Linked DNA regions of Diceros bicornis minor. The protein of the gene in region 1 purifies or fractionates together with the protein of each later gene. This does not show direct contact. Links are inferred from orthologs where the notes say so. Each region holds a gene or a part of one and is shown on either strand. Other genes may lie near its edges.

Region 1 (6,181 bases):
AAGTACACGGATCAAATATGGAGAACACAGGAGTGCACCAGAAGAGAGGTGTTCGAACATTTCAGGCCTTGCATTACTCCAAGACTAAGGGGCTCAGATCAGAAGTCATCAAAACAATGCACATAAAGTTTTCTCTACAATATCCCAACTCACTGGCTAACTCAAATGTAAAAACCAATTACCACATTACACAGAAACTAAAGAGCAAAAACTACCACATTACATAAAAACTAAAGAAATAACACAAATCTACAGGTGAAAATGTGTCTACAGGTGATCTAAAAATTCTTCTGAATGACATTTGAGTAAGTGCAAAGAAATACAATACTCGATATGTGTATGAATTCTGAGAAAAAAAGACAGGTTAAAAAAAAAATCCCTGAAGACTAGAGAAACTTCAAGGAATAAGGACAGATCAAAGTTCACGCATTGCCAATGTGACAAGCCTGAAGCAGGGGAACTCTGCAAAACTCCTCAATTTTTGCAGGTTATCTTAAACTCACGATACATCTTTCTTCGTAAGAGCAAAGAATCCAAAGCATTTGCCATAGCCTTACATTTTCACCCTTTGAAGCGAAGCCTACTTAGAAACATGCTTAGGAAGTTTTCTACAAACTCAAAGGGTACATTTAACTCCATTATGCATTCTCACTGGCAGATGGAGAGATGACGCTGAGCCTGTTCTCGGGAGTTAAAGAGATGCTCCGTAGTAAGGGGGAACATCTTGTGGACTGTCAGATAGCCAGCCATTCTTCCTCTTCATTATCCTGGCACCTCAAACAACTATGACAGCAAAAGAGAAGGTCGGGGGCCATCAGAATAGCACCAAACTAACTGTAAGAAGAGGACGATGGAAGGAAGTCTCCCAGACTTTCTCCTGACAAAAGGCTAGTCCACAACTTTGTGAAGCAAAGAATTTGTAGAGCCTTGTTAAACTGAAATCTTGATCTCCAAATACGTTTAAAAGCGTAAAAAAACAAAAACACACAAATAGAAACCTAATGCATATTTTAAACTTTTGTATGATCAGCTCATGCTTGCAGTTCATGATTGGGGCTCTTTCAACTTCTAATCTTGATTTCCAAGTACATAACTCCACAAAATCGATTATATTTTTCCTGCGCCCCCCCAAAGAAAGTGACAACAAACTGCAAAGAAAATGCCTCTGCTCTCTCCCACCCTAAAAACCCAGAGTTTCAGACATTTTGGTCTCATACCAAAGAAATGGAAGATGTAAAATGAACTGCGCTCCATATTGATTCTTAAAGCAAATAAGAAGATTAAAAAAAAGAAAAAAAAGCTAGGAACGGTAGGTAAAATAATTCAAATCAAATTTCAGTTTTGACGTTAAAACTCACGTCAAACCTGAAATCCTGCATCTCACACACACAAATAAACAAAACCAAGATTTTTTACACACTCATACTCAGCAGAAAATCTCGTGCAAAGAAGAGAAAATCTTGAAAAGGAAGAGTCGAAAGTAGAGAAAACAGAATAAGTGCAATCAAAGAGAAAGGACTGGCAATTCCTCATTTATCAACAAATTAAAAGTAGGGTTGCATAAAAAACCCTTACACGCAAATGCACTGGCATTTCCAAAATTAAATTCCATGGGAGCAACAATAAAGGCCATTTCTACAGCACCACTCAAGAACTCTAATTCCAGAACACACATCGATATGACATAGTGTTGCAACCAATGTATTAGGAAGCAAAGAAAATGGTTGGGCTACTGGACGTCTTTGACCAGCTCATTCAAACACCTTTAAAATTAATCAAGAGGCAGAGAACTAGGAAGAGAGAGAAAGGAAGAAAATCTGGAAGAAGAAAGGTGCACCGAGCAGCAAAGATTCAGGGGGATGTGGAGGGCCAGGGCTCCCGAGACTAACCTGTGCCATCGCTGGCCGACGCCGAGAGGGCCGGAGATGAGAGTTTAGGCCGCTTGGCTGAAGGCGGCCCCGGTTCCACCACATTCTCGGCCATTTTTAATTCTTTCGGAGATACAGGCGAGGAAAACGAGAATCCTCGGGCAATCTCTTCTTCAGGCCGGGGTCCCCGCCCCGCTCCTTGGGGTGGGCTTGGGGGGCTCCGCCGGCCCCCGATGGGGGTGGGGGAAGTTCCTTTTTCTCTTCGCCGGGTCGCGCTGGCCGAAGAGGGATGCGGACTCGATAGAAAGGTAGGGGCAAGTGCGAGGGGCCGGGCCTGGCCCAGGCCCGGAGGAGGGTACAGGAACACAAATCCGCCGAGCGCGGCCGCTGCGGCGAATTCCCGAGAACTCGCGGCTCTAGAGGCGCAGTCCCCGGCCCGCCACGGCCGGCCCCTGCCCAGCCGAGGTCTCTCGGAGCTCCGCCGCCGCCATCAGCCTCTTCCTCCTCGGCGCTGTCCTCCTCCTTCTCATCGCCACAAGGAGGCGGGGGCGAAAAGGGGGGAGAGGAGGAGGCGACGAGAGACACTCACCTCCTCCCGGTGCCCCCTCCCGGACCTGCGCCCCCACCCTCCGAGCCTTCCTCCTGCCGCCGCGCTCCGCGCCGCCGCCGCACCGGCCCCTAATGACCGCACAGAGCTCGCCCGAGCCGAGAGCCAGGCTGGCGCCGCCGCCTCACATCGCGCGGCGGGCGGCGGAGGCGCGGCGAGGACGCCGGGCGCGGAGCTCGCCGGCCCAGAGGGCCGAGGGGGCCGGGCCGAGCAGCGCCGCCCGCCCGCGCCGACGCCGAGCCCACCGAGGAGGCCCCGCTCCGGCGGGCGGCGCAGGCGGCCTCCTCTCCCGCGGAAAATAAATAAATACGGCCGCCGCTACGGCCCCCACCCCCGGCGGCCAGGTGCCGGGAGCGCCCGCCCCCCGGGGCTCCGCTCGGGGCCGCCCTCGGCGGCAGGCGAAGGCGCCGCGGGGCGCGGGGTTATGTAATGGTCCCCCCTAGGCGTCGACGCCGGCCCGGCTCCCAGGCCGCGGTGGGGGTGTGTGCGGACGGGAGGGGGCTGGGGGTCGCTCAGCCCGTGCGCCCCGGGCCCCCTGCCACTGTCTCGGCCCCTGCCGCCTCTCTCCGGCCCGGCTCCCCTCCGCACTCTCGCTCTCGCAGTTCGCACTCAGCCCGGCGTCCCGCTTGCCCACTCTGGCCCGCTCGCTCTCGCCCTCTCTCCCCCCCAGCCTAGCACACAAACAAGATGGCGGCTGTTGTTTCTTCCCTCTGCCGAATCCTCCTTACAGGCTAGCGGTAGCAGCGGCGGCCGGAAATGAGCCAAGGGGGGGTGAAAAGAAGGGGAGGGGTTGGGCCTCCGGAGGGAGGCGGCGAGGGGGCGGGGCCTGAGCCCGAGCCGCTCACACAATGGGGGAAGAGGACCCGGGGGCGGGGCTAGCTGCAATCACGGGATCCGCCCAAGGCCCCAACGCGGTTGGCGCTTCCGCAAACTCCCCCGGCGTCACCCGGTGGCTCCCTTTAAAGGGGAGGATTTGAAGGGGGGGTCGGGGGTGGACTTGCATCTATTTTCAGTCGGTGGACACTTACGGGGGAAGGTGCCTGGGTTGGGTCTCCGCGTAGGGACCGGTGGGAACCGCGGGGTGACGGAGCTCGGGGGCGACGCCGGGGAAGGCGCCAGGTCACCGCGCAGGTGGCCGAATGAGAGCGCCGTGGGGATGGCCCTGCTTCCCGGGCCCTTGGGCGGCCGGTCGTGCGAACCTCGGTTGAATCCAGCCGGCAGAGGGTACCCCGCCGCCCCGTGTTCCGGGCCAGAGACCCAGTGCGTCCTCTCTCCTCCATCGTTTTCCGAAAGGGAACGGTTCACGTCCAAAAATCACGCTGATTACGAGTTGTTTCCCTTTTCTCTGAATTTTACAATTTTTTGACAGTGAGCATATATTATTTTGATAATCAGAAAACGAAAACCACAGCAGTGGGAAGATGTTTTAGCACCAGACCTAAATTCGTTTCTTGCCCACCACGGGTCCACTTGCCTCTATCAGCCCTCTCACCAAAGGAGCCTGGAATTATTTTTCTGAACACGTCTGGGACCTGAGGACATTTTAGGGTATTTCTTTTCACCCACCCGCAACAGACCAGCTTAATAAAAGACCACGTTTAGACAGCGCCTTAAAGATAATGTAATTATGGAAAAAAGCGAAAACGTAATGTGCTAAAGGTAATGTAAGGATGGAAAAAAGCAAAAATGTAACGATGGAGAAAAACACTTGAATATAAATAAAGTGCAATGTGTGTGACAACACGGTTTTGCAGAGGAGAGCCTCGCAGCATGCTTTCACATTCCTACACATTACAGGATTCCGCTGTGTTTGGCCTTGGGTAAACTGCAACTTGAGGAGGTGGCAAGGTTGTTGGTGTTCCCCAAGGAAACCCCCAATCCAGTATCTATGGAGATAGTTAAAAGCTTTTTAACATATTTCAAATCTCATGCTCCTTAGTTAGTGTTTGCTTATTATTGTTTACTTTGGTTTTTGTTGTTGGCTTTTTAAATGAATGATGAGAATAAGAACCTAGGAGCGAAAATCTTAATGAAGCAACTCAGGTTGCCAACAAAGAGGAATTCTGTGTGATGTTCAGGCCTAATTCACCCAAACTGCAGTAAAAAAAAAAAAAAGCAAGCAAATTGAAAAGGACAGTACCTCCTTATCTTAGAGTTGTTAGAGGATGGATTCAACAAGTAAGGCTAAGGTCAAAACTGGCCTTCAGGAATGATTCGATTATTTTTAATAGTTTATACTCACATTCACAGTAAAGAGGACAGAGGAAAGAAATGTGAACAACATCTGGAAACTTGGCCCATCATTTCCGTGTGGAAAGTTGCTCACCCGATTGTGTGAAGAGTTTCTGAACTTCGGGACAAGATTTGCTTAGTTTTGCAGAGGATCCAGCTTGAGTCTAAGCAGCATTCAAACATACTCAGCTGGCTTAGCCAAAATTACTGTGGGACTAGGTACAGGAGGCCTCTGGAAGATCTGAGGAACCTCTCGTGGGAAAATTCTGCAAAGAGGAGTCAGGGGCCATGGACCTACCCAGAAATGAAGGCTCCGCTGTAGACTGGGAATTCTGATGCATGGAGCTCCTTCCTGGCATCCGCTCCTCTGGGTCTTTACCTGGGACCCTAAAGTCAGCCATGTTGGAGGTGGCTGGAGAAACAAGGATCACACAAATGCAATCAAGATGAGACTTCAGATGGTTTCAAAAAAGCAGAATTGAATCAGCCTGGATTGTATCTACCCTAATCAAATGAAAATTTAATCAGTTGTGGAGTGCTATGTGTAGATTAAGAGTGTGTTCATGAAGAAGGAATTGTCTTCCAGCAGCTGGTGGGTAGGGGAGGGTGGGAGAGGGAAACGCAGGAGACAGCAGAGACTGGCAGGTAAGAGCAGAGGCACTAAAGTCAGCCAGGACTGGGTTTAAATTCTGGCTCTGTCACTTAGCAGCTGTGCAACTTGGGCAGTCTCCTCATTTGTAAAATAGATTTCTTGATTAGACCTACTTTATTGTTGTGAAGATTAAACACGATAATTTATGAATAATGCTTATCACAGTGCCTGGCACATAGTAAGCACTCAATACACCTTAGCTGTTTCTAGTCATTCATTCTGAAAAGGAAAGGATCTTCCCTAACTCGAAGAGTTGCTGGGAGAATGAAAATGAGATTACCGCATGTAAGGTGTTTGGCAGTGCCAGGGGCCTGGCAAATGCTACCGGGCTACCACACTGGCTTCTCCACAGTCAGAAGGAAATGTCTCACAGGGTCATCCAACTCCCTTTAGGATGTTCTCTGTTCACCTTGAAACCTTCTGATGATTAACCCAGCTTCCCAGGTGCCTTGATTGCCAAAGAGGAGACCCCTAGATAGTGGGCACAAGACTAGGAGGAGAAAGATATTAATTACTCCAGGGCAAATCTATCAGTTGCATCTGGTCAAGATACTGCCATATGATCCATAGGTACGGTAGCCTTAGTTCATCCCTGCCCCCTTACCCCAGGATCTACACCTTTTGTTTTGTGCCCCTTATTCCTATGACTAGTCCCACTGGCCCCCTAGTTGTCCAGCTGGAAACCTGGGCACCATCCATGAATCCACATAGGCCTCTCTCTTCCTTCTTTGTCACACCCAATCATCAAGTCCTATGGACTCTACTTCCTGAATTATCTTCCAAATCAAATGGATGTTGACCTATGTGCAAGTATTACCCATT
Region 2 (5,482 bases), on another chromosome or scaffold:
GCCCTCCCTCCCCGTGTGTCCTGAGGCTGAAGAGAAGAGGCCAGAAGGGAAACTTCAACACAGCCAGGAGCGAGGAAAGTCAAGCAGCTGGGATCCAGCATCCCAGCCCCGAGCCTGTTTCTCAGAATTGGAGAGAGGGGGAGAGCCACCCCATACGGCTGAACAGGCCGAAATTGCACAAACACCCCCAGGGAGGACCGGGAGCAGTGGGCAGAACAGGGGGCCATGCGTGCACACAGCGGGACCTACGCAGCCCCAAGTGCATGTCCCTCACAAGACCTCACAGAGATGCCCCAACCAAAGCATGCACTCAAGGATGGCGATGAAGCCCGACTAAGGAGGAGCTGGGAGAGCTGATGGGGCAGAACGGACTCTCCCTGCAGGAAGTGCGGCCCCAGAGCAAGGCACCACGGGCCAGAAGAACACGCTGTAGGCGCCACAGGAGATGGAATGAGCAGGGACAGACCAAACCCGGTGACAGAGAGAGGCCCCCCACGACGAGGTCCAGTAGGACCCACATGGCCAGCCTCAACAACGCCCAAGTTCTAGAGCATAGGGAACGCAACTCCCAGACCGCACACGTGGCCAGGCTGAAATCCAGAACAATGAGGGCAATGACGGTGAGCACACACGGCAGCTACGAGGGCGGGCACTGCCCCAGCCCCTGGCTCTGTCCCCGGCCCTGCTCCAGTCTGTCCTCTCCCTGCCCCAGCCCTGTTCCTGTCCCCCAGCTCTATCCCCTGCGCTGTCCCCCAACCCTGTCCCTGTCCCCCACCCTATGTCCCTGGCCCTGCCAACACTTAGCACATGCTCACTCCTGTGATCCCATACCGCTTCATGATGCCATCCCCACCTCAGACATGCATGGAGAAGCCACACGAGGAGCCCCAGATCACCCGCTGGGATTCCCCTGGGAACGGGCTCAGGTCTGTGCTCTGGCCGGCTGTGGTCACTCCTCTACGGAGATGCCGCCCCACACAAGAGTGCAGGGGCTGCACTGACTCCCACGGGCGGCTCTGCACTAGCTGCAGGCACCCTCAGTGCCCATGCTGCTGGGGCCAGCTTTCTGCTGAGAGCTCCTCTGTACGTCTTATACAGACGAAGCTGCTCTTCATCTTACAGACGAAGAGCATGGTGGGTCCTGAGAAGGAGAGGAAAGGTTCCGCACACAGACGGCCTGGTCCCCACTCTCGGCCCCACAGAAACCTGACTTTGCAGCCGCCTAGAAAAGCAGGAGCAGGCAAGGGGTTCACCTCCGTGACTGCTCAGTTCAGGGTACCCGGAAAAAAAGCCATCCGCCTCCACTTCTCCCCGCCCCAACCAGTCTCAGAGAAGATCAGCATTAAAGGGTCTGGCCCTGGCCAGGTTCTGGCTTCTCCAACACACCGCCGGCTTAAAAGTTGTCCTCCTGGGCATGCCCGGGGCGGCACCCTCGTTTCTCAGCAGGCGGGCAGGGGGCCAGGCTGGGGACCCAGCCAGAGAAAGCTCTAGCCACCAACCTCAGGTGCGGCTACAGCTCCTCCTCCCACAGGCAACTCTGCGCTGGGGGAGGGGCGGGAGGAGGAAGCTGAGGGCCCTCAGCCAGCCAGGCTGCCACAGGACAGACAGACCACATGGCCCCTCCCCGCCGGACCCCGGAACAGCCCCTCCCAGGAGGAGGCCCATGCAGCTGGATGTTGACCGGGAACTGCAAAATGTGCAAGATGGCCACCGAGAGTTGGGCTCTGCCAAGGAGCTTACACCATGGCAGGCATCTTCCAACCGGCGATCTAACCAACACCCACCCAAGGGTGTCCCCAACCCAGCCTGCCCCCGACAGTCCAGGTTCAGGGCCCCAGTGGGGAGACAGGCTGGTCCCCAGTGCTGCTTAGAGTGCCCGTGAGGGTCCTTGTTCTGATATCTTTCAAAACACAAGGGGGACAAACCCGTGCCTTGAGACAAACAGAATTGGGTCCAGATCTCTTGAATTATTGAGGAAACAGACTGGCTCAGAGAAGGGAGCGCAGCACAGGGTTTGCTGAGTTCAACGGTGTGGGTGGCTGTCCCAGGCCCTGCTCCACCTGCCTAGATGGGGCAGACCCCCACCACCACCTGCGTAGTCCGGGCAGACCCCACCCCACCTGGCAGACCTCCCCCACCTCCACCTGCCTAGACAGGGGAGATCCGCCCCCCAACCTCCACCTGCCTAGTCCAGGCAGACCCCTAGCTGCACGGCTGAGCCCAGGACATCCAGCCAGTGAGGGAAGGGTGCCCCCCACAAGCTGAACGTTGTAATTTTATACATTTTTAAAAAATGGGTGAAAACCTCAAATACCAGTACAAAGCCTGTGATAAGAACAAGCGCCAATAAAACAGCCTGAATAAATTCCAGTGGTGGAGCAGCGCCCACCCTGCCCGCTCCTCAGGGAAAACCTCCGTCCCCCGGCCCCACCGCTGCTCCCCCCGCCCCCGCCCGAGCGGCCCAGCATCACCCGGCGCTGGGAGGGGGGACCCGGGAGGGAAGGGCCCGGCGGGCTCCCGTGGGGCAGGGAGGTGACTGGCCCTGCAGTCCTCGCCGGCAGGACGTTACCGTGCCCAGGAGACACGGCATCCTGTCCTTTCTCTCAGAGCCAGGTCGGCAGTGTACCCGGGAGCGTGTAACGGGACACTGAGAACAGGGAGGTGACCTAGTGCGGCGGCCGAGACCCGGGATTCCGGAGTCCTGGCGGGGTGGGATGCCGGGGTCCGAGGGTCAAGGATCAGAGGCTGGGAGGAGCTGTGGGTCCGAGGGACTGGGGTCCGCGGCTCCGGGGGTTCGGGGGTCCACGAGTCAGGGGTCAGGGGCCGGGGGTCTGAGAGTCTGGGGTCCGGGAAGGGCTATGGGTCCGAGAGGTCGGGGTCCCAGCGGGGCGGACACTGGGGGTCTTAGGAGGCGGGATCCCCGGGGCGGGGGTCAGCAGGGTCGGGTGACCGGCGCCCCTTTGTGTCACCTGCGCGGGCGGCGGCGGGGGCGGGGCGGGCGTGACGGCGGCGCCGGCGCACGCTCACTCGCACGCAGCAGCTCGCGCACGCGCACGGCACTCCCGCGGCCCCGCCCCGGCCCCGCCCCCGGCTCGGCCCCGCCCCCGGCCGGGGGCGCGGGCACGCCGGCGCGCACGCGCACTCGCACACAAAGCCGGGGGCCCGCGCGCCCGCCCCGCCCCGGCTCCGCCCCGCCCCGCCCGCGGCCGGAAGTGCGCGCGCGCGGCCTTACCAAGCGGCAGGCCCTTGTTGAGCAAGTGCGAGCTGCCCATTGAAAGGCGCGGGCGGCCGCGGGCCCCGACCAGTCCGGCGCGCTCCGCCGCGAGCCCGGCGCGTGGGGCGGCCTGGGCGCCGTCCGCTGCTCCGCCCGCTCGCCTGCGCCCGTGCGCCGCCGTGCCGAGCCGCGCCGCGCCGCGCCAGCAGCCGCTCCACCGGGCGGGCGGGGACAGGGGCGCGCGCGCGGGCGGGGCTTCCGGCCCAGCAGCCTCCTGGTTCCAGGCGCGGGCGCCGCGCTGCACCACGCGGGCGGGCGGCTGCAGGCCGGGCCCGCCCGCCCCGCCGGGGCCACGGGGCTCTCCCCTGGCCTGTACACGCGCGCGCACAGCAGCACACGCACCTGCCCTGCACACACAGCTGCACACGTACCTGCCCGGTTCACACACATGCACACGCACTTGCCCCGCGCATGCACTTGCCCTGCACAGGCACGTGCATTTGCACACGTAGCTGCCCCGCACACGCACACGCACACCCTGGGCCGAGCCTGCCCCACACACGCACCTGCCCCGCACCTCCTGGGCGCCAGCGGCGCAAGACCGGGCTAGAGGCCTCGTGAGCACGCTCCTGGGTGCCAGTGGTTTACATGTCCTTGGGCCCAAGCCAGGAGGCGCTGCAGGTGCTCAGCCCGCGCCGCCTTCCGGCTCCGGGCGGCCGCAGGGTAGCGGGAGGCCACAGGTCGGAACTCAGAGGGTTTCTCTGGGAAAGCTTGGCCTTACACTTGGGTTCCAGGGGGCGCATCTGGGCCAGGCGGCCTGGACGGGAGTCCCCGGGACGAGCTTCCCCAGTGGGCTGTGAGCAAAGCGCCAGAAGCCAGCACTGAGTAGTTAGAGCAGAGACACCCCTGAGCCCAGGTGAGGTCCCTGGGAGGTGGCAGGTGTGTGGGTCCATGCCCGGCTCCTCTGGCCACCACCCCCAGTCCCTGAGAGAGCAGCCTGTGCTTAGTTCCGGAAGTCCAGAGGGGACCCAGCCCCGAGGATCATGGCGGCTCCCCTAAGGTGGGAGCTAGCCAGGCCCCAAGGGGAAGACAGGCACCATAGCCGTCCTCTCAGGGAGAAGCACGTCATTAGAACAGGACAGCACTAAACTATCAGTACAGCTCCTTGGAACATAGTGGACGATCCTGAAATCAATCCTGTAATCTATATGTTTTTAAAATTCATAAACCGATGAGAAAGTGTAGGTGGATTCAGTAAAGGATGATAGGGAACTGGGTAGCTATTTGCAAAATTGATGCTTTTAAACCCTCACTTGGTACTCACCTATGAAAATACCTCCCAAATCGGATTAATTAGAACATGTAGGGAAAATGAGAAGACAGGATGTAAATGAGCAGTTAGCAAACTTCTCAGAGAACTTTCCTAAATGCAGACACAAAAGCAGTCGCAAAAGAAAGAGCAAAATTCCAGAGCAGGGTGCGTGTCTCACGCACACGTTCCCGCTCGTTCCCCCAGGCAGAGGTTTACTCATTTAACATCGTACAGGACCAGACCCCCTGACGTGGCCTGGACCAGCTCCTCCAGCTCCTCCTGGCCTTCTCGGTACCTCTAGCGCTGAGACCCAGGGTGCCCCTTGATACCTGCCCCCTCCACCTCACAGCCCTCAAACCAGGGTCCCCCACATCACTTCGTCCCTGGGAGTGGCCCCAGACTGTAAATCAGATTCCATTGTCCCCTGCTCAAAACCTTTAAGGTTTCTCCTTGCACTAGAGAGGAAATCCAAGCTTCTTATCACAGAAGGCTCTGGGCCTGGGCCCATCTCCATCTGCCTCTAACCTCCCTTCCATTCTTCAGCCAGGTGCCACCCGCCCCCAGCCTGCCATGCTCCAGCCACATGGCTCTTCTTCCCAGTGGCCACAGGGCCTTTGCACATGTGATTTATGCTGCCTTCCCCTGCTTTTCCCATGGCTACCTTCTCCCCCTTACCCTTATGCCTGGTATAGCAGTTACCTTTCTATCTGGGCTTTCTTCCTGCTATACTGTCAGCTCCCTGGCGTCAGGGGCCTCTACTCCCCCACCCCCATGTATTTGAGATGGGAACTGCTCAATGGAGGTGTGGGAAGAATTGATGTACTGTTCTGAACGTGCCTGTCCCATGCATGCCTCCTCAATCCTCAGGGCTGGCCAGAGGCACCAAGACCACAGGCTCCCGCCTCCAGGAGAAGGCCTGGGGATCAGTCATGCCACCCTGATGCCCTCCACTCTCC

What was found. Proteins that work in one complex are often made in the same cells at the same time.
Region 2: the proteins of EP300 (region 1) and CTBP1 purify together in Homo sapiens (affinity purification with western blotting; 5 studies listed by BioGRID, with this or other methods). This does not show direct contact. The link is inferred for Diceros bicornis minor from reciprocal best matches to the Homo sapiens genes EP300 and CTBP1.

What each region holds. Positions count from the first base shown.
Region 1 is NC_080764.1:9,284,614-9,290,794, forward strand, and holds the start of EP300 (histone acetyltransferase p300), read right to left. Parts: upstream 3,198-6,181; 5' UTR 1,984-3,197; coding exon 1,890-1,983; intron 1-1,889. UniProt on the Homo sapiens protein: Functions as a histone acetyltransferase and regulates transcription via chromatin remodeling. Acetylates all four core histones in nucleosomes. Histone acetylation gives an epigenetic tag for transcriptional activation.
Region 2 is NC_080747.1:643,370-648,851, forward strand, and holds the start of CTBP1 (C-terminal-binding protein 1), read right to left. Parts: upstream 3,772-5,482; 5' UTR 3,273-3,771; coding exon 3,233-3,272; intron 1-3,232. UniProt on the Homo sapiens protein: Corepressor targeting diverse transcription regulators such as GLIS2 or BCL6. Has dehydrogenase activity. Involved in controlling the equilibrium between tubular and stacked structures in the Golgi complex.